Saccharomyces cerevisiae S288C: one gene and its partners. Changing the gene in region 1 together with any one later gene gives a genetic interaction. Each region holds a gene or a part of one and is shown in the gene's direction. Other genes may lie near its edges. The genes, in order: YUR1, SRO7, KRE1 and CNB1.

What was found.
Region 2: mutations in YUR1 (region 1) and SRO7 together harm fitness more than expected from each alone (negative genetic interaction), as found in Saccharomyces cerevisiae (3 studies listed by BioGRID).
Region 3: mutations in YUR1 (region 1) and KRE1 together harm fitness more than expected from each alone (negative genetic interaction), as found in Saccharomyces cerevisiae (5 studies listed by BioGRID, with this or other methods).
Region 4: mutations in YUR1 (region 1) and CNB1 together harm fitness more than expected from each alone (negative genetic interaction), as found in Saccharomyces cerevisiae (3 studies listed by BioGRID).

Annotation. Positions count from the first base shown.
Region 1 is NC_001142.9:149,767-154,790, reverse strand, and holds YUR1 (mannosyltransferase YUR1), read left to right. Parts: upstream 1-1,791; coding exon 1,792-3,078; downstream 3,079-5,024. Other genes in the region: TIF2 (translation initiation factor eIF4A), read left to right, coding at 100-1,287; DNA-directed RNA polymerase II subunit RPB4, read right to left, coding at 3,165-3,830; serine/threonine protein kinase YAK1, read left to right, coding at 4,401-5,024. UniProt on the Saccharomyces cerevisiae protein: Possible glycosyltransferase involved in N-linked glycosylation. Transfers an alpha-D-mannosyl residue from GDP-mannose into lipid-linked oligosaccharide, forming an alpha-(1->2)-D-mannosyl-D-mannose linkage.
Region 2 is NC_001148.4:631,573-638,722, forward strand, and holds SRO7 (Rab GTPase-binding protein SRO7), read left to right. Parts: upstream 1-2,550; coding exon 2,551-5,652; downstream 5,653-7,150. Other genes in the region: NTO1 (Nto1p), read left to right, coding at 1-2,189; HTS1 (histidine--tRNA ligase), read right to left, coding at 5,807-7,150. UniProt on the Saccharomyces cerevisiae protein: Acts as an allosteric regulator of polarized exocytosis by promoting the targeted fusion of vesicles with the plasma membrane.
Region 3 is NC_001146.8:32,242-36,750, reverse strand, and holds KRE1 (Kre1p), read left to right. Parts: upstream 1-2,515; coding exon 2,516-3,457; downstream 3,458-4,509. Other genes in the region: VNX1 (calcium/hydrogen antiporter), read right to left, coding at 1-2,055; LEM3 (Lem3p), read right to left, coding at 3,563-4,509. UniProt on the Saccharomyces cerevisiae protein: Involved in a late stage of cell wall 1,6-beta-glucan synthesis and assembly.
Region 4 is NC_001143.9:81,436-85,603, forward strand, and holds CNB1 (calcineurin regulatory subunit B), read left to right. Parts: upstream 1-1,511; coding exon 1,512-1,563; intron 1,564-1,639; coding exon 1,640-2,115; downstream 2,116-4,168. Other genes in the region: DPH2 (2-(3-amino-3-carboxypropyl)histidine synthase), read left to right, coding at 1-1,204; HYM1 (Hym1p), read left to right, coding at 3,269-4,168.

The DNA of each region.
Region 1 (5,024 bases):
GAAGGAAACAGCAGATCCCAATACACATAGTAGGAAAAAAAAAGGTTCGCTAAACAAAGGACTGGTGTGTACAAGAAACTAATAAATAGTAATTGCAATATGTCTGAAGGTATTACTGATATTGAAGAATCCCAAATTCAAACCAACTATGACAAGGTCGTCTACAAGTTCGATGATATGGAATTGGACGAAAACTTGTTAAGAGGTGTTTTCGGTTACGGTTTCGAAGAACCATCTGCCATTCAACAACGTGCCATCATGCCTATTATTGAAGGTCACGATGTCTTGGCTCAAGCTCAATCTGGTACTGGTAAGACCGGTACTTTCTCCATTGCTGCTTTGCAAAGAATTGACACCTCTGTCAAGGCTCCTCAAGCTTTGATGTTGGCTCCAACTAGAGAATTGGCTTTGCAAATCCAAAAGGTTGTCATGGCTTTGGCTTTCCACATGGACATCAAGGTCCACGCTTGTATCGGTGGTACTTCCTTTGTTGAAGACGCTGAAGGTTTGAGAGATGCTCAAATCGTCGTTGGTACTCCAGGTCGTGTTTTTGACAACATCCAAAGACGTAGATTCAGAACTGACAAGATCAAGATGTTCATCTTAGATGAAGCTGATGAAATGTTGTCTTCTGGTTTCAAGGAACAAATCTACCAAATTTTCACCTTACTTCCACCAACCACTCAAGTTGTTCTATTGTCCGCCACCATGCCAAATGACGTCTTGGAAGTTACCACCAAATTTATGAGAAACCCAGTTAGAATTTTGGTTAAGAAGGATGAATTGACTTTGGAAGGTATCAAACAATTCTACGTTAATGTTGAAGAAGAAGAATACAAATACGAGTGTTTGACCGATTTATACGACTCTATCTCCGTTACTCAAGCTGTCATCTTCTGTAACACCAGAAGAAAGGTCGAAGAATTGACCACTAAGTTAAGAAACGACAAATTTACCGTTTCTGCCATCTATTCTGATTTACCACAACAAGAAAGAGACACCATCATGAAGGAATTCAGAAGTGGTTCTTCCAGAATTTTGATCTCCACTGATTTGTTGGCTAGAGGTATCGATGTCCAACAAGTTTCTTTGGTTATTAACTACGACTTACCAGCTAACAAAGAAAACTATATTCACAGAATCGGTAGAGGTGGTCGTTTCGGTAGAAAGGGTGTTGCCATCAACTTTGTTACTAACGAAGACGTTGGCGCTATGAGAGAACTAGAAAAGTTCTACTCCACTCAAATTGAAGAATTGCCATCCGACATTGCTACCTTGTTGAACTAATCTCTAAGGAGAAGAAATCCATAACTATATTACCTTTATCTTATCTTGACCCCCTATATGATATTATTTTGCCCATATTTGTTTTTATTATTGATTATCCTTTTATTGTCTTTTTGTTAGGGATATTTCATAATAAATATTTGAATATATAATATGTACAATAATTAAATAATTTTCTGATTATTCCTTCAATATTTTGTGTTGAAAATTTGCTTTAAATGTATTCTTTAATTAAATTCTTTATTCGCTATACCTGCCACATAACCACTTTCCCCTTCATTTTCTTCTTTTCTTTGTGTGTGAAGAGTAACTAGCTGTTTTACTGGTCGCTTTGGAAATTTTCTATACATTTTTTTAATAAAGGAAAGTTAAAGACAAAGTACTACGCCTCTTTATTTTTCATCTGCAGAAATAATCTGTCACTGCTTATTCATATCATCTCCAAATCTAATGCTTGGAAGTCGCTATCAAAATTAAAGAAGTTTATCATCAGAAATTGTTAAAATGGCAAAAGGAGGCTCGCTATACATCGTTGGCATATTCTTACCAATATGGACCTTTATGATCTATATTTTTGGCAAAGAGTTATTCCTCATACGAAAATACCAAAAGATTGACAGTACGTATACTGCTCTTTCCCAAAGAGTAAAAGAACAATATGATACAAGTCGAAGAAGAAACTATTTTCCTAAAGTAAAACTTTCCCGCAATAGCTACGACGACTACACTTTAAATTATACCAGACAGAATGATTCTGATTCTTTTCACCTACGAGAAAATGCAACAATTTTAATGCTGGTGAGAAATTCAGAATTAGAAGGGGCATTGGATTCAATGAGATCATTAGAGGACAGATTTAACAACAAGTATCATTATGATTGGACTTTTCTAAATGACGTTCCTTTCGATCAAGACTTCATTGAAGCTACAACATCAATGGCGAGTGGGAAGACCCAATATGCTTTAATACCACCAGAAGATTGGAATCGGCCGCAATGGATTAACGATACACTTTTTGAAGAAAGACTTCGAGTCATGGAGGATGAGGGTGTTTTATATGGGGGATCCAAGTCATATAGAAATATGTGTCGGTTTAATTCTGGTTTTTTTTTCCGGCAGTCAATACTGGACAACTATGATTACTACTTTAGGGTGGAACCCAATGTCAAGTATTATTGCGATTTCCCATATGACCCGTTCAGAGTTATGAGATTGAAGGGCAAAAAATACGGATTTGTCATATCATTATATGAATATGAAGAAACCATACCAACCTTATGGGACGCGGTAGAGGAGTATTTAGTGGCCAGCGAAGAGACCATTTTACGTAAAGAGGACAGTGCCTATGCATTTTTGACCGATTCAGGGCTAGTTGGTAAGCATTATCCCGTTGTTGAAGCAAACTCTGACTACAATTTGTGCCATTTTTGGTCGAATTTTGAGATTGGCGACTTGAATTTCTTCAGAAGTGACGAATATAAGCATTTTTTTGAAACTTTAGATGCCAAGGGCGGATTTTACTACGAAAGGTGGGGTGACGCACCTGTACATTCAATTGGTGTCTCCCTACTGCTGAGACCTGACGAAATCATTCATTTTGACGAACTTGGCTATTTTCACTCACCGTTTGGCACCTGTCCAGCATCTTACGCTGTTAGGCTCGATCAGAGGTGTAGATGCAAAAGCGATGATGAAAGTGTCATAGATATAACCCCACATAGTTGTTTGATGAGATGGTGGAAAAACGGTAGCGGCAAATATTTCTTAAAAGAAGAGCAAGACGAGATTTAAAATCCTGTCCTTTTTCCTGTTAAATAGGCCTAACTTCCACAGGGTGAAAATTCATTACTAGTTACACACACGTATACATACAGTTATTAATAGAGTGTTTCTAGGTTTGACAATTCCTTTAGTATCCTTTCCAACTCATCGTCTGATATTTTATTGTTTAAGCTTGGAATTAAAGTCTTTGCTTCATCAGCTGTGTCACAGGCCAAAGAACCTAGTTGCGCCACTTCAAAAGGATGTAACCCAGTGCTTTTCAGAAGCTGTATAACTGCCCCGACGGTTTCTTGGTCTCTAAATCGGGAGAAATTTGTTAAATACTGCATGGTATTTTTCAAATCTTTATTATTTCCTCCCGTTGTCTGTTCTAACAGAACGTCGATAGACTCCAACTCCTTCTCCCTAGTTTCAGAATGCATAAAATCATCATCATCAGCGTTGACGTCATCTTCATCCAGATCATCATCTTCATCCTCTACTGCCGTAGTTTCATCATTGGCGTTTTCGTGCTTCAAATGCTTCTTCTTGTGTTTTTTTTGCGATCTTTTAAATGCTCTCCTACGTTCTACAAGAGCTTCTTTGATTACTAACCTGGCTTCACTTAGGTTCAAGGCAATCAATTCCTCCTCTTCACCCTGATGATTTATCTGTTTCAGCTGGAATTCCTGGCCCAGTTGTAGAGTAGCTGCATTTTCTTCTTCCTCCACTTTCTTCAATCTTCTCCGTCTTGTTTGAAAGGTTGATGTAGAAACATTCATTTTTCTATATTCTTATATATATATTTTCAATACGGATGAATATTTGTGTACTTTCGCCCTCAAACTCAACTTATTAAGATGCAGCAACCCATTCAAGTCTCTTTCTTTACTTTTGTCTCACCGTTAAGCATGTACGTATGTGTGTAGGTATGTTTAATAGCTACCTTGCAAAAAGTTTGAAGAATGACAATATCACTATTGTCGCGTTGCACGTAAATGACACCTAAAAAGGATTTAGGATTTGGAGAAAAAAACTAAAAAAAATATAAAAGGCCTAATAAAAATATCAAAATAGCGCGATGGCTTTATTAACCCTAACCGCCCCTTCTGAACCATTGCAAGCAATGCCCCCTCCTCAGATTTACCCCTTCTGGGCTGAACAATGAATGAGTCGCAATGCTAAACAGATATAAGGAAACAATTGGTGGGCCATTACTGGGGGTATTACACAAATTTCTCACTATTAGATTTGGGAATATATCGAAAGAAGAATTTTGGTGAAGAGCAACAGCCATTGTGCAAGGGAACATAATTTCGTTATCTTTTTTTCACATGCTAATTTGAGCAATCATGAACTCATCCAATAATAACGACTCGTCCAGCTCCAATAGCAACATGAATAACTCCTTGAGCCCGACCCTTGTGACCCACAGTGATGCTAGTATGGGCTCGGGTAGAGCAAGCCCAGACAATAGCCATATGGGGAGAGGTATATGGAATCCATCGTACGTAAATCAAGGCTCTCAAAGGTCTCCACAGCAGCAGCATCAGAATCATCACCAGCAGCAGCAGCAGCAGCAACAACAACAACAACAGAATTCTCAATTTTGCTTTGTTAACCCTTGGAATGAGGAAAAAGTAACTAATTCTCAACAAAACCTGGTGTATCCCCCTCAATACGATGACTTAAACAGTAACGAAAGTCTAGATGCGTACAGACGACGTAAATCTAGTCTCGTTGTACCTCCAGCCAGGGCACCTGCCCCAAATCCTTTCCAGTACGATAGTTATCCCGCTTACACCAGCTCTAATACGAGTTTGGCAGGAAATAGCAGTGGCCAGTATCCTTCTGGCTATCAACAACAACAACAGCAAGTATACCAGCAGGGCGCTATCCATCCTTCCCAATTTGGATCCAGATTTGTTCCCTCCCTTTATGATCGTCAAGATTTCCAAAGAAGGCAGAGTCTGGCT
Region 2 (7,150 bases), on another chromosome or scaffold:
ATTTTTATCCTGATCTTAATGCCGATACTTTACTGCCGTTCATCGTTCCCTTAGTGGAAACAAAGGATAACAGCACCGATACTGACTCAGATGATATTTCAAATCGGAATAACAGAGAGATCGGGAGTGTCAAAAGCGTACAAACTAAAGAATTGATTTTCAAGGGGAGAGTCACCACTGAACCACTAGTACTGAAGAAGAACGAAGTGGAATTTCAAAAATGTAAAATAACTACGAATGAGTTAAAAGGTAAGAAAAATCCATACTGCGTTAGATTTAATGAGAGCTTTATATCCAGGTACTATCATATAAACAAAGTAAGAAATAGGAAGAGTTATAAACAACAACAAAAAGAATTCGATGGTGTGGAGGCACCCTACTTCACCAAATTCTCTAGTAAAGAAGCCCCGAATATTACTATTTCGACGAGTACAAAGAGTGCAATTCAGAAATTCGCTAGTATTTCACCCAATCTTGTTAATTTCAAGCCTCAGTATGACATGGATGAACAGGATGAATTATATTTGCACTACCTTAATAAGAGGTATTTTAAAGATCAAATGTCTCACGAAATATTTGAAATTTTAATGACTACACTAGAAACTGAATGGTTCCATATTGAAAAACATATACCCTCAACGAATAGTCTGATTGCTAGGCATAATATTCTAAGGGACTGTAAGAATTATGAGCTATATGGTTCTGATGATGGAACAGGTTTATCGATGGACCAGGCGTGTGCAGTTTGTTTAGGCACAGACAGTGACAATCTGAATACAATTGTCTTTTGTGATGGATGCGATATTGCTGTGCATCAAGAATGTTACGGTATAATTTTTATCCCGGAAGGAAAATGGTTATGTAGACGATGTATGATCTCAAAAAATAACTTTGCCACTTGTCTAATGTGTCCAAGTCATACAGGTGCATTCAAACAAACAGACACCGGTTCTTGGGTACATAACATTTGTGCTCTATGGCTTCCAGAGCTATACTTTTCAAACTTACATTATATGGAACCTATAGAAGGCGTTCAAAATGTTAGCGTATCACGATGGAAACTTAACTGCTACATCTGTAAAAAGAAGATGGGTGCTTGCATTCAGTGCTTTCAAAGAAACTGTTTTACAGCATATCATGTCACGTGTGCCCGTCGAGCTGGTCTCTACATGAGTAAAGGGAAATGCACTATTCAAGAATTGGCCTCTAATCAATTCTCCCAAAAGTATTCAGTCGAAAGTTTCTGCCACAAGCATGCACCTAGAGGATGGCAAACGAGTATAGAAGGTATTAATAAAGCTAGAAAATACTTCTCTCTACTCTCTACATTACAAACCGAAACTCCTCAGCATAATGAAGCTAATGATAGGACAAATTCAAAATTCAACAAAACAATTTGGAAAACACCTAATCAAACGCCGGTAGCACCACATGTTTTTGCTGAAATATTGCAAAAGGTCGTTGATTTTTTTGGCTTAGCTAACCCACCAGCAGGCGCATTTGATATTTGCAAATATTGGTCAATGAAAAGGGAGCTTACAGGAGGTACCCCATTAACTGCCTGTTTTGAAAATAATTCATTGGGGTCCTTAACCGAGGAACAAGTGCAAACAAGAATAGATTTTGCCAATGATCAGCTCGAAGACTTGTACCGGCTCAAAGAGCTGACTACTTTGGTGAAAAAGAGAACACAAGCTTCAAACAGCTTGTCCAGATCCCGAAAGAAGGTTTTTGATATAGTTAAATCGCCCCAAAAATATCTTTTAAAAATCAATGTACTGGATATCTTTATAAAATCTGAACAATTCAAGGCTCTTGAAAGATTGGTTACTGAACCTAAATTATTGGTTATTTTAGAAAAGTGTAAACATTGTGATTTTGATACTGTCCAAATTTTTAAGGAGGAAATTATGCATTTTTTTGAGGTTTTGGAAACTCTACCCGGTGCATCAAGAATACTCCAAACTGTCTCATCAAAGGCAAAAGAGCAAGTAACAAATTTAATTGGGCTCATAGAACATGTAGATATTAAGAAGTTGCTATCCAGAGATTTTATAATAAATGATGACAAGATAGAAGAAAGACCATGGAGTGGCCCGGTGATTATGGAAGAAGAAGGTTTAAGCGATGCAGAAGAACTGAGTGCAGGGGAACACCGTATGCTGAAGCTAATCCTTAACAGCGGATAAAATAAAGGTTTTAATATTGCATTATGTATAATGAGTATGTATTTTTATGCTATTCTTGTAAAAGTTTGGCTTATTATTTACTTTCATGGAACACTTAGTAAAAATAACTTAGAAAGGTCGTCTTTTCTTTATTCTTTAGCATTTCAATACCGAACTAAATATCCGTTTTTATAGTTTAGTTGGTTTTGTTTAATTTCTAGAATCCTGTTCGGCGCTTTTGTTAAAAGTAAAAAATGAAAATTCAAACGAAATGAACCTAATCACGTTAGAATTTAAATCTTGGAATATGTTAAATATAAAACAAGAAGAGCAAGCAATACTATTTCTGACTAATTCTCTATACACATAAGAGCAAAACAAAATGTTCGGTAGCAAACGTCTGAAAAATGTTAAGGAAGCATTTAAGTCCCTAAAAGGCCAAAATTCAGAGACACCCATTGAGAACTCAAAGGCGTCTTTTAAATCCAAAAATTCAAAGACATCTACTATTTCCAAAGATGCGAAATCTTCCTCTTCTTTGAAGATTCCTATAAGTTCAAATAACAAAAATAAAATTTTTTCACTAGCAGAAACCAACAAATATGGGATGAGCAGTAAACCGATCGCAGCCGCTTTCGATTTCACCCAAAATTTATTGGCAATTGCTACAGTCACAGGGGAAGTCCATATTTATGGCCAGCAACAAGTGGAAGTGGTTATAAAACTGGAGGATAGATCTGCTATAAAAGAAATGAGATTTGTGAAAGGTATCTATTTGGTGGTCATTAACGCAAAAGATACTGTGTATGTTTTATCGTTATATTCTCAAAAAGTACTTACAACAGTGTTTGTTCCGGGGAAAATAACATCAATTGACACAGATGCATCCTTAGACTGGATGCTAATCGGCCTTCAAAATGGTTCAATGATAGTTTACGACATAGATAGGGATCAACTTTCCTCCTTCAAATTAGACAACCTACAAAAAAGCTCATTTTTTCCGGCTGCAAGACTATCACCTATAGTATCCATTCAGTGGAACCCTAGAGATATTGGAACTGTTTTAATATCATATGAGTATGTAACTCTAACATACTCATTGGTTGAGAACGAAATCAAACAATCCTTCATATACGAATTACCACCTTTTGCTCCAGGAGGCGACTTCTCAGAAAAAACCAATGAAAAGAGAACTCCCAAAGTTATTCAGTCCTTATATCACCCTAATTCACTGCACATTATCACTATTCATGAAGACAATTCCTTGGTTTTCTGGGATGCTAATTCAGGCCATATGATCATGGCAAGGACAGTGTTTGAGACAGAAATCAATGTTCCACAACCTGATTACATACGCGATTCTAGTACTAATGCTGCCAAAATTTCGAAAGTGTATTGGATGTGTGAAAACAATCCAGAATATACTTCACTACTCATCTCTCATAAGTCAATCAGCAGAGGAGATAATCAAAGTCTCACTATGATCGACCTCGGTTACACACCTAGATATTCAATAACCTCTTATGAAGGTATGAAGAACTACTATGCAAATCCGAAACAAATGAAGATATTTCCCTTACCAACCAATGTGCCAATAGTGAATATACTACCAATTCCAAGACAGTCCCCGTATTTTGCAGGATGTCATAATCCGGGGTTAATTTTGTTAATCCTAGGTAACGGTGAGATAGAAACAATGCTATATCCTTCTGGAATATTTACAGATAAAGCCTCTTTATTCCCTCAAAATCTTTCCTGGCTGAGACCATTAGCCACGACTTCAATGGCCGCTTCTGTACCAAACAAATTATGGCTTGGTGCGCTTTCTGCAGCTCAAAACAAGGATTATTTGTTGAAGGGAGGGGTTAGAACAAAAAGGCAAAAACTTCCCGCTGAGTACGGTACAGCATTCATTACCGGCCATTCTAATGGCTCAGTTAGGATATACGATGCTTCCCATGGGGATATACAAGATAATGCTAGCTTTGAAGTGAATCTATCAAGAACGTTGAACAAGGCCAAAGAACTAGCAGTTGATAAGATATCTTTTGCCGCAGAGACTCTCGAGTTGGCGGTGTCAATTGAAACAGGAGACGTTGTTTTATTCAAATATGAAGTAAACCAGTTTTACAGTGTTGAGAACAGACCAGAAAGCGGTGACCTGGAGATGAATTTCAGGCGGTTTTCTTTGAATAATACGAATGGTGTTCTCGTCGATGTGAGAGACAGGGCACCTACCGGTGTTAGGCAGGGATTTATGCCATCAACTGCCGTGCATGCCAACAAAGGGAAAACATCTGCAATCAACAACAGTAATATTGGATTTGTTGGAATCGCATATGCTGCCGGAAGCCTTATGTTGATCGATAGAAGAGGTCCTGCAATCATTTACATGGAAAACATTAGAGAAATCTCGGGAGCTCAAAGCGCATGTGTTACCTGCATCGAATTCGTAATTATGGAGTATGGAGACGATGGTTACTCTAGTATATTGATGGTCTGTGGTACTGATATGGGCGAGGTAATCACATACAAAATTCTTCCTGCATCAGGTGGAAAGTTCGATGTGCAACTAATGGATATTACTAATGTTACCAGTAAGGGTCCGATACACAAAATTGATGCATTTTCAAAGGAAACAAAATCTAGCTGCTTGGCAACTATTCCAAAAATGCAGAATTTAAGTAAAGGCCTTTGCATTCCTGGTATTGTATTAATAACTGGATTCGATGATATCAGATTAATAACACTGGGCAAATCTAAAAGTACACATAAAGGTTTCAAATACCCGCTTGCCGCGACAGGTTTATCTTACATCTCAACCGTTGAGAAAAATAATGATAGGAAGAACCTAACCGTAATAATTACATTAGAAATCAATGGCCATCTAAGAGTTTTTACTATTCCAGATTTCAAAGAACAAATGTCTGAACATATTCCATTTCCAATTGCCGCAAAATACATTACAGAATCATCTGTTTTAAGAAATGGTGATATAGCGATTCGAGTGAGTGAATTTCAGGCGTCACTATTTTCTACTGTCAAGGAACAGGATACGCTAGCGCCAGTTTCTGACACACTGTACATCAATGGAATCAGGATTCCCTATAGGCCACAAGTAAATTCATTACAGTGGGCAAGAGGCACTGTATATTGTACTCCCGCTCAATTAAATGAATTATTGGGTGGCGTGAATAGACCTGCATCCAAATACAAAGAGAGCATCATTGCTGAGGGAAGTTTCTCGGAGCGTTCTTCAGACGATAATAATGCGAACCATCCGGAACACCAGTATACCAAGCCCACCCGTAAGGGCAGGAACAGTAGTTACGGGGTACTAAGAAATGTTTCTCGAGCTGTAGAAACTAGATGGGACGCCGTTGAAGATAGATTCAACGACTATGCTACCGCCATGGGAGAAACAATGAACGAGGCTGTTGAGCAGACTGGAAAAGATGTAATGAAAGGTGCCCTTGGTTTTTAAATACATACACTAATTCATACAGGGTAATGAGCAACTTCCTTCTATACTTATTTTTTTTTAGTTCTATATGCTTTATAAATTAATTTGAATCGATTTATTTTTCATTATACATGTCTAGTTTTACGAAGGTTTGTAAATACATGAGCTATCAAGTTTATAATCCTTTAATTAAACGAGTGACCTCATTTAGACCATCTTCATGAATTTGTGATAACTTTTCTTGAACAATAGGAACAATGTCAGCCGCACTAACCAATTCACCATCATCATCGGCAAATTCTTGGCCCAATCTTTTGACACGTAATTTACCTTCTAAGTACTCCTCCTTACCGAGGATTACGGCAATGTGACAACCCGCTTTTTCAGCAGCATCGAATTGCTTCCTAGGATTAGCCTTGGCCTTATAGACATATTCAGCTTCAATGCCAGCATCCCATAATTGCTTAGTAACCTTCATTCTTTCGGGTAAATAACCAGTCCAGTCCTTACCACCACCAAAAGCCATAACGAACACCTGTGTAGCCGTTGGCTTTATAGTTGTAGAGGAATTAATTCTTTGTTTGATCAAAGAAAATATTCTTTCAACACCAAATGAAATACCAACACATGGAATTTGAGTAGATTTTTTGCCGGAAGCTTCAGAGAACATGTTGACCAAATTATCATATCGACCACCGGCTGCAATAGAGCCGACACCAACGAATTCTGACGCGTCTTCTGCAGATTTGGCCTTCTTCTTCAATTCTGAAGCATTCTCTGGTGGAGCAGATGCAGAAGTAACAACTTCATAGATCAAACCTGTATAGTAATCCAAACCTCTTGCAAGAGAAAGATCAAAAGAGATGAATGAGTCAATGTCAAATGCTTCGGTATACTTCATCAAAGTAGCAATATCATCCAAACCTTGTTTAGCCTTTTCGTTTGAAGTAATGTTGGCATCTGCGGATAGAACAGCGTGAATTTCCTTCAAAGAACCATTTAATTTAACATACTCACCGATTTTATCAGCAGTTTCTTCGGATTGACCTTTTTCTTCGGTCATTTCCTTCTTGACTGCTTCCCATGGAGATTTGTCCAACTTATCGACAGCAGAAGAGATTTTCCTCACATCCTCATCTTTAACACCAGCGATTTGGAAGATCCCATCAAGAATCTTCCTGTGATTCAATTTGATTTTGAAATCTTTGATTCCCAAACTGGTCAAACCTTCCACTAAAATGGACAAACATTCGGAATCAGGAACCATAGATTCGAATGTGCCTGCAACGTCAAAATCACACTGGTAAAATTCTCTCATACGACCCTTAGTCATGGCTGGTTGGTCTCTTCTGTAGACTTTTGCAATGTGATACCTCTTGATACTCTGAATATTGTTCATGGCAACGTACCTGGCAAAAGGAACGGTCAAATCGTAACGTAAAGAACATAATTCACCACCCTGGTCCTCCAAGTTGTAGATCAGTTTGGAGTCCTCACCATACTTGCCTGCTAAAATTTC
Region 3 (4,509 bases), on another chromosome or scaffold:
TTGAATAACATGAGTGAATAAACGGTTGAACTTCAGGGGAGGATGCGAGAAAGTACAGTCACGGTCGTTAGCACCGTCTGCACAGTTTACCGAGTAGCCGCCATATATCTCGTATAAAACGGTGGGGACAAACATTACAATCATGGAAAATATTAACAATGCGGAAGAGACACCAGCGCTAGCAGGGTTGTATCTTTGTGTTTTCCTATTTAGAGCACCACCGCACATGGACAGACCTGGTAATAATAGAACGGCACCTAGAATGGAACCAATCATGGATCCTTCCACTAGAAGACCCTTTTTTTGTTGCAATGCAACGCAGTACAAGAAAATTTCCACAATGGTCGAGAAAAATGCATTAATGACAGCACCGACACCCATGGAAGTTTGAGCAGAGATCGATGCGACTGCTTGTCCAATGTAAAATGCTAGTGGGATGGTGGATGTCAAACAAAGAATGAATATTGAGGATTCGTATGTGAACCACGTTTTCCAATGCAGGAAATTTTTCAAAACATAAAAGTCAAAAATTGTAAAGAAAACGATGGATATTAAATTCACAACAATAACATTTGTACCATCAACTGTGTACTTGTAGTAATGCCAGCCAGCGGCACGGAACGTACATAAGAGGATATTTTTGTTCAATTGCTGCTGGGTTATTTCATTTTCGTGCGATTGGGAGGAGTTCTCGACATATTTGAAGCCTAATGCAAGCGGATGTCTTCTGCAATGATACATAATTTGCCAAAGAACATTACTCATGGGAATGGTAAACACCAGGAGCCAGAGGCAAAGAGATAAGACGGCAAGGATGGGTTGCAAGACGAGATGGAAGATTGTATAGAAAAGAACACGACCCCAGCTCCATTTTCCTCTCCCAAAGTACCGTCTTTGAGCCGCTGCGTGCGGAATTTCGTGTCTAATAGAATTATATGATGGATGGTTCGAGTTAAGCGGTGTTGCTGTTGTGTTAGCGGGCGGCATCAAAGACGAAGATTCCGTTGCAGGGGCCGGATGGTCCTCTCTTTGCTGAAACTTGGCCTGAGACTGGTGGAAGACCAGCCTGTTGGAGTATGAAGTCACCCAATTGTAGAATTGCTGCATACTAATACCTTCATCCTTATCTTCTTGTAAATATTGCTCGTCCTGCAACAAGTATACCATTTTGCCAAAAGGCCAAAGGAAATAATTGGCGAGTTTATACAGACACTTGGAGTACTCCTTCGCAGAGTTCGTTACCAGTCCTCCGCCGCCTAGTAAAAATACCACAATAGCCGCCGAGTAGAAGAGTATCGCAATGGGGAAACCGAACAAAATAAACCATAGCACATTGGAACAAGTCACCTCCCAGGTAATAGTCTTCAACTGAGTCTCGTGAATGTCTTGCGCCGCGGTTCTTTGAACTGAACGGTGTTTCTTATATAAAGCAGGCTTCCATATCCTGATACCGAAGGGGTGGGTCTCGTTGATGGCGTCCTGTCTTTCTCGTAAAGTGAATGACTCTGTGGACGAAGCATTAGACGCCTGGTCATTGTTTTCCAAGTGTGAAGGCGACTGGCAATTGATCTCGTCTATAAGTAAATCATGGCCGTGCGAGTCGTGTATAATGAACCGACTGTCATCATTGGCGTCCTCGTCATCATTGTCATCATGAGGTAATTCCCGGATAGATGAATGCATTCGTTTCGGAGAGCTGGGAGTAGCTGTATTTAAGTCTGGCACAGAGTGCGACTTGGAGGATAGCGACTCTAGTGTGGGCGGCAAGTGTTGTTGGTGCTCGTGGTGGTGCAGCGTGTTGTTGCTGCTATGTACGATTGGTGATTGCGAGCTTACAGATCGCTTGGATTTATTGGCATGCAGGGCGAACTTCAACCCTTCATGCAGACCCTCAAGATACCTGATATCGTTTTGGATCTCCTTTGGATCATCGTCCACGCTAAATATTCTATGAGGAGTCGAGGCAGATGTAGTTGGGGTCAGAACCTCCTCTTTAAGACGATGGTCTCCAGAGGTACTGTTACCACTGGCAGAAATGTGGTTATTTTTGGCCATTGCTGCTTACCGCTCTTCTAGCTAGCAGTTATTTCACTTTCATTTACAGCATCCCTCATGTTTATTATCTTCTTTATCTAATATAAATTAGGAACTAAATAATCCCCTCACCGTATAAAGCGACAGTTCCGTGACGGTTACTATTATGAATATCTCAACGGAAAGAGGGCATTAAAAGATCATAATAGTTGGTACTCTCGTATTTTATATATATATATCACTATATTTTAACACTTTTACTGCTCAATTGTGCCATATACTTCGCCTTATTGCGTACATTCTTCACCTTGTATCCCCCTACCTCAGCGTGTATGGTGATATCGCGTTTTTTCATAAACTGAGAATGGGGCTTTTTCTATAACGTGTATTATGAAAAAAAGAAAATAAAAATCAAGAATTAAGCACTTGTATATGCTACAGTAAAGACCTCTTCAACTTCTGCAAGACAATCAAAAAAAAAATGATGCGTCGCACGCTATTACATTCATTCGCTACGCTGCTACTTTCTTTGTCGTTGTGGTCAGCTGCGGTCATGGCAGCTGTGACAACTCAGGTTACAGTGGTAACAAATGTCGCAGGGGCCCTGGTTACGGAGACCACAATATGGGACCCTGCCACCGCTGCTGCTGCTGCTACAACTACCGCTCAAACAGGTTTCTTCACTACGGTATTCACTACCACTAACGATGTCGGAACCACCGTCACTCTTACTCAGACAGTCAACAGAGCCACTATGCTACCAACCACGACGACTTCTACCTCATCTACTGGTAAGACAACCACCACTGTTCCTACCGCAACTTCATCGTTGTCTTCGGGACTGTATTTATCTACAGTTACCACGACAAACGATTTGGGTACCACAGTTACATTGACTCAAACGTTCACACATTCTAGCACCAGTGCTACTTCATCCGCCTCCTCGTCTGTGTCCTCGTCTGTATCTTCGTCTGGTTCATCCTCCAGTGTAAAGACGACCACATCGACAGGGAGCGCAGTAGCTGAAACAGGCACCAGGCCAGACCCCTCCACAGACTTCACAGAACCTCCTGTGTCTGCTGTCACTAGTCTATCTATTGACTCATACATTACCATCACTGAAGGTACAACCTCCACTTACACAACCACACGTGCGCCAACGTCCATGTGGGTCACTGTTGTTAGACAGGGCAACACTATCACTGTGCAAACTACTTTTGTCCAGCGTTTCTCCTCCCAGTACGTAACAGTCGCTTCTCCCTCCGTGGGGTCTATTGGGATGGGTACTTTAACCGGTACTGTAGGCGTTATTAAATCTGCAATAAAGAAAACAGTTTCGCATAATGAGGCCCAGCATCTAGGTATGAGTTCGTTTACTTCAATTTTGGGTGGGCTATTAACGGTTTTAATTTGGTTCTTATAAATTTTTATTCAGAAATAAACACAAACATATACATATATAAGAGTAAAAATAAAAAAATAAAAAAATTTTACAGGGTTAAAAATAAAGAAAACCATCACTCCTTTTCTATTTCATATTCCATGACAAACTTGATGCATCAGCAATCTTTCTACCGCCGAAGAGCCAAAACGTTAATAATATCAATGCCATGGCAGCACAAATACAGCCTCCAATCAGGTAAACTATACCTAAAAATGGATTTCTACCGCCAAGGTGAGAACCGTGAGTCAAGTAGATTCCCTTCTTACCATTAAACTCCAATACTGGCCAATGCAGACCGATATCCAACTGGTATTCACCCGCTGGCAAAGTATCGTTTTTATTGATTCTGATCAGTTTTGTAATTTTATCAAAAGCACCTGGCCTCATCCAGTTTTGGAACTCTTCCCAATCCTGAATATCAGGAATATTCGTCTCGTTGTATCCATCTGGATACATCTTTTCCCAATATGGTGGAGGTGCTATCTGTGTATAATTGTATTTGGTTTTTTTGTACCTTTTTTTATCAGATTCCCAATTGATTCCTTTATTTGTCAATGAATAGTTGTTAGACGTATCCCCTACATTTGTTAACTGCAGGGGGAACGTGTCGTTGAACATTGAGTTCGCAATTAGGCCACATGGATAGTATATTTTACCATCGGCGTTCTTAGATAGTGGCTTACAATTTATACCGGTTGCATCATGCACCGTCTCATAAGAGGCGTCCTCCCCACGTATCTGATCTTCGCTAAAAGATAGTACATATCTTCTGTGATTGGCAGCAAATTTTTCCAGCACATAATTCAAATATACGTTATTTTTCATATCACTTGGAGTAGTGAACCTGATTTGGCATGTACCTCTTTGTTTTGTGAAGTCATCTGATTCATCATCCACAAACCTCCATTGTGGTGCAGTATTATATGTTTTATATTTGTGAAATACAAATTGCCAATGTTCAGAAGGGATGTCGCTCCATGATGAGGTTGCGTTAGTCATACAGTCCTGGTAATATATGGTTACTTCATCCA
Region 4 (4,168 bases), on another chromosome or scaffold:
CTTGCCCGTGGTTTACTCATTCGGAACTCCATTTTTGGATTTGGCACTGGTGGTGGAGAACTTTCAGAGGGCATTCCCAGACTTATCCTCCAAAATTTGTTTGATGGCAAACGCACCCTTCTCTAAGCATTTGTCACAGCTGTACAATATTTTGAAGGGCGACCTGCACTACACAAATATCATATATTCCCAAGTGAACACCTCTGCGGTAGAAGAAAAATTCGTAACCATACTTGACACCTTTCACGTTCCCGAAGACGTAGACCAGGTGGGTGTGTTCGAAAAAAATAGCGTGCTGTTTGGTCAGCACGACAAAGCAGACAACATCTCGCCCGAGGACTATCATCTTTTCCATTTGACCACCCCACAGGATCCGAGATTACTGTATTTGTCTACTGTGTTTCAATCTGTTCATATTTTCGATCCGGCTTTACCTGGCATGGTAACGGGGCCATTTCCCTCTCTAATGAGGCGTTACAAGTACATGCATGTGGCAAGAACAGCGGGATGTATAGGTATTCTGGTCAACACGCTGTCGCTACGTAATACAAGAGAAACTATCAACGAGCTGGTCAAGCTTATCAAAACTCGTGAGAAAAAACACTATTTATTTGTTGTCGGAAAGCCAAATGTGGCCAAGCTAGCAAACTTTGAAGATATTGATATTTGGTGCATTCTCGGTTGTAGCCAAAGCGGTATCATCGTTGATCAATTCAACGAGTTTTACAAGCCCATTATTACACCTTATGAATTAAACTTGGCCTTGAGCGAAGAGGTCACATGGACCGGGAAATGGGTTGTGGACTTCAGAGACGCCATTGATGAAATCGAGCAGAATTTGGGCGGACAAGATACCATCTCTGCCAGCACAACTTCCGATGAACCGGAGTTTGATGTAGTTAGGGGAAGATATACTAGCACATCAAGACCACTGCGAGCGCTAACGCACCTGGAGTTAGAGGCGGCCGACGACGACGATTCCAAACAACTGACTACAAGACATACCGCCTCAGGTGCCGTCATTAAAGGTACTGTATCCACTTCAGCATCAGCACTGCAGAATCGTTCGTGGAAAGGTCTAGGAAGCGATTTCGACTCTACTGAGGTTGATAATACTGGAGCGGATATCGAAGAAGGTATTTCCGGTGTCGCACGTGGTTATGGATTTGATCGCGAAGACGCTATGAAAAAGGAAAACAAATGACTCTTATAATTTGTTTCCCTCGACTTCTCTATTTAAATCCAAGATTTTAACTAATAAACTATTTAATAATAAAACAATTAACTCTTTATATGGAAGCCTTGGAAATTAGCCGCCAAAATGGGATATACATTCCGTGCGAAGTGACCGCGTGGAAGGCCGGGTATCATCTTAAAAATCACTAGTTTCTTTTTTAGCGGAATGCAATAAAGGTGCTTTGTGCTGGTGTGGTTTACACGGAACATCTAGTAGCTAAAACTTGGTAACTCAATGGTGATCAGAATCCATAGAAGCATTTTTATTTCTTAAAATGGGTGCTGCTCCTTCCAAAATTGTGGATGGTCTTTTAGAAGATACAAATTGTATGTACACTTCGGAGTGAGGAAAAGAAAGAAAGGGGAAATTAACCGATTTTACTAACACTGACACTTTGAACAGTTGATAGAGATGAAATTGAAAGGTTAAGGAAGAGATTCATGAAATTAGATAGAGATAGCTCAGGGTCTATTGATAAAAATGAATTTATGAGCATTCCTGGCGTTTCGTCAAACCCTCTTGCTGGACGTATAATGGAGGTTTTCGATGCTGATAATAGTGGGGACGTGGATTTTCAAGAGTTCATCACAGGATTATCCATTTTCAGTGGGCGTGGGTCCAAGGACGAAAAGTTAAGATTCGCCTTCAAAATCTACGACATTGACAAGGACGGTTTCATATCCAATGGTGAGTTGTTCATCGTGTTGAAGATTATGGTAGGTTCTAATCTGGACGATGAACAGCTGCAACAGATAGTAGATAGGACGATAGTGGAAAACGATAGCGACGGCGACGGACGTTTAAGTTTCGAGGAGTTTAAGAATGCTATCGAAACCACAGAAGTGGCCAAGAGTCTGACATTGCAATACGATGTGTAAGACTAGGGGACACTTCATTCATTTATGGTATGCCAATATTTTTAAGAAAAGAAGAATAATACGCGATATTGTTTTTTAAGGAAGGAACGCACACTCGCCCAGTTAGAGTGCTGATGATATATACATATATATATGTATATGTAACAAACAATAAGAAAGCAATGATACAACATAGAGATGAGAGAGAGCATATATGTCAGCGACGAGATATACCAAGATGGAAGCTGATCTCATGTAATAACTGCGGGGTGTACTTTGATAATTTTTGGGATTCCATTGTTATTAATAGCTTTGATATCAGACATACAGAATACCAGAGATTTTCCTCAAAAATATGGCAATGCACAAAGGGGGATCAATAGTTATATAAATTAAGATTATTACTTCTTCTTTGTTTTATGTGTTGTTATTCACTATCCCACTGCATTATCAATCCTTACATATCAGCTTCCGTTAAACCCGATGACTATCTCTCAATCATCATACTATCTTCTTACACCGTATATGATAATTACCAGCAATACTAATGCTAGGAGACAGACCATCTTTGATTCCTATTCCAATAAAGTTAAACTGTGATATTGGTTTATTGGATAAGTTCATATCCTAAAACGTGTTGACAACACTTCGGGAGTTTCCAGTAAGTAAAATTTGTATGGAGGGTTGGCCGAGTGGTCTAAGGCGGCAGACTTAAGATCTGTTGGACGGTTGTCCGCGCGAGTTCGAACCTCGCATCCTTCAGTAATTTTTTTTTTTAATTTATTTTTGTGTTGCAAGCGTTGATCCTTTCCATTATGCAGCCATAAGAGGAGGCTGGATATGAATTATTTATTACCAATATAAGGAGCATGTACCGTTGATTTTGAAGAGCCAATTGCTCCAAATTTTGGATTTTGTGTTCGAAAAAGGGAAGATTGCTCCAAACGCAAATAAGGAGGAAACCCGCTGATTGCACTCTTGGAAAAATAAAAATAAAAAGTGGTCTCAGAATTGTTTCAAAAGTGGCACTGACACAATATTTACAGGCGTTGATAGCTTCTTGTTTTAACAATACGATTTAATCTCGGAGTAGTTAAGCCAAAGAATACGTGTTATCCGTAAGAGGCTTATTGCACGTAATCCCCAGTATAAATTATCCGCAAATCGAAGACAAATGTTTAAGAAATACAAAAATCAAGACTTGGACATGGCATTTTGGTGGAAGAAAAACCCCAAGACCCCTTCCGATTATGCCAGGTTGATCATCGAACAACTAAATAAATTCAGCTCACCCTCGCTGACTCAGGATAACAAACGAAAGGTACAAGAAGAGTGCACAAAATATCTAATTGGCACTAAACATTTTATTGTCGGTGATACGGATCCTCACCCAACTCCGGAAGCCATTGACGAGCTTTATACTGCCATGCATCGTGCCGACGTGTTCTATGAACTGCTACTTCATTTTGTGGATTTGGAATTCGAAGCAAGGAGAGAATGCATGCTTATATTCTCTATATGCCTTGGATACTCTAAGGATAATAAATTCGTCACAGTAGATTATTTAGTCTCGCAACCAAAGACCATATCTTTAATGTTGAGGACTGCGGAAGTTGCTCTACAACAAAAGGGTTGCCAAGATATCTTTTTAACGGTAGGGAATATGATTATTGAATGTATCAAATACGAACAACTTTGTAGGATTATATTAAAGGACCCTCAACTATGGAAATTCTTTGAGTTTGCGAAACTGGGTAATTTCGAAATCAGTACGGAATCTTTACAAATATTAAGTGCCGCATTTACTGCACATCCTAAATTAGTGTCTAAGGAATTCTTCAGTAATGAGATTAATATCATAAGATTCATTAAATGTATTAACAAGTTAATGGCTCATGGAAGCTACGTAACGAAAAGGCAGAGCACTAAACTGTTGGCCTCATTAATTGTGATAAGATCTAACAACGCGTTGATGAATATATATATCAACTCCCCAGAAAACTTAAAGCTCATAATGACTTTAATGACTGACAAATCTAAAAACTTACAACTTGAAGCTTTCAACGTATTCAAG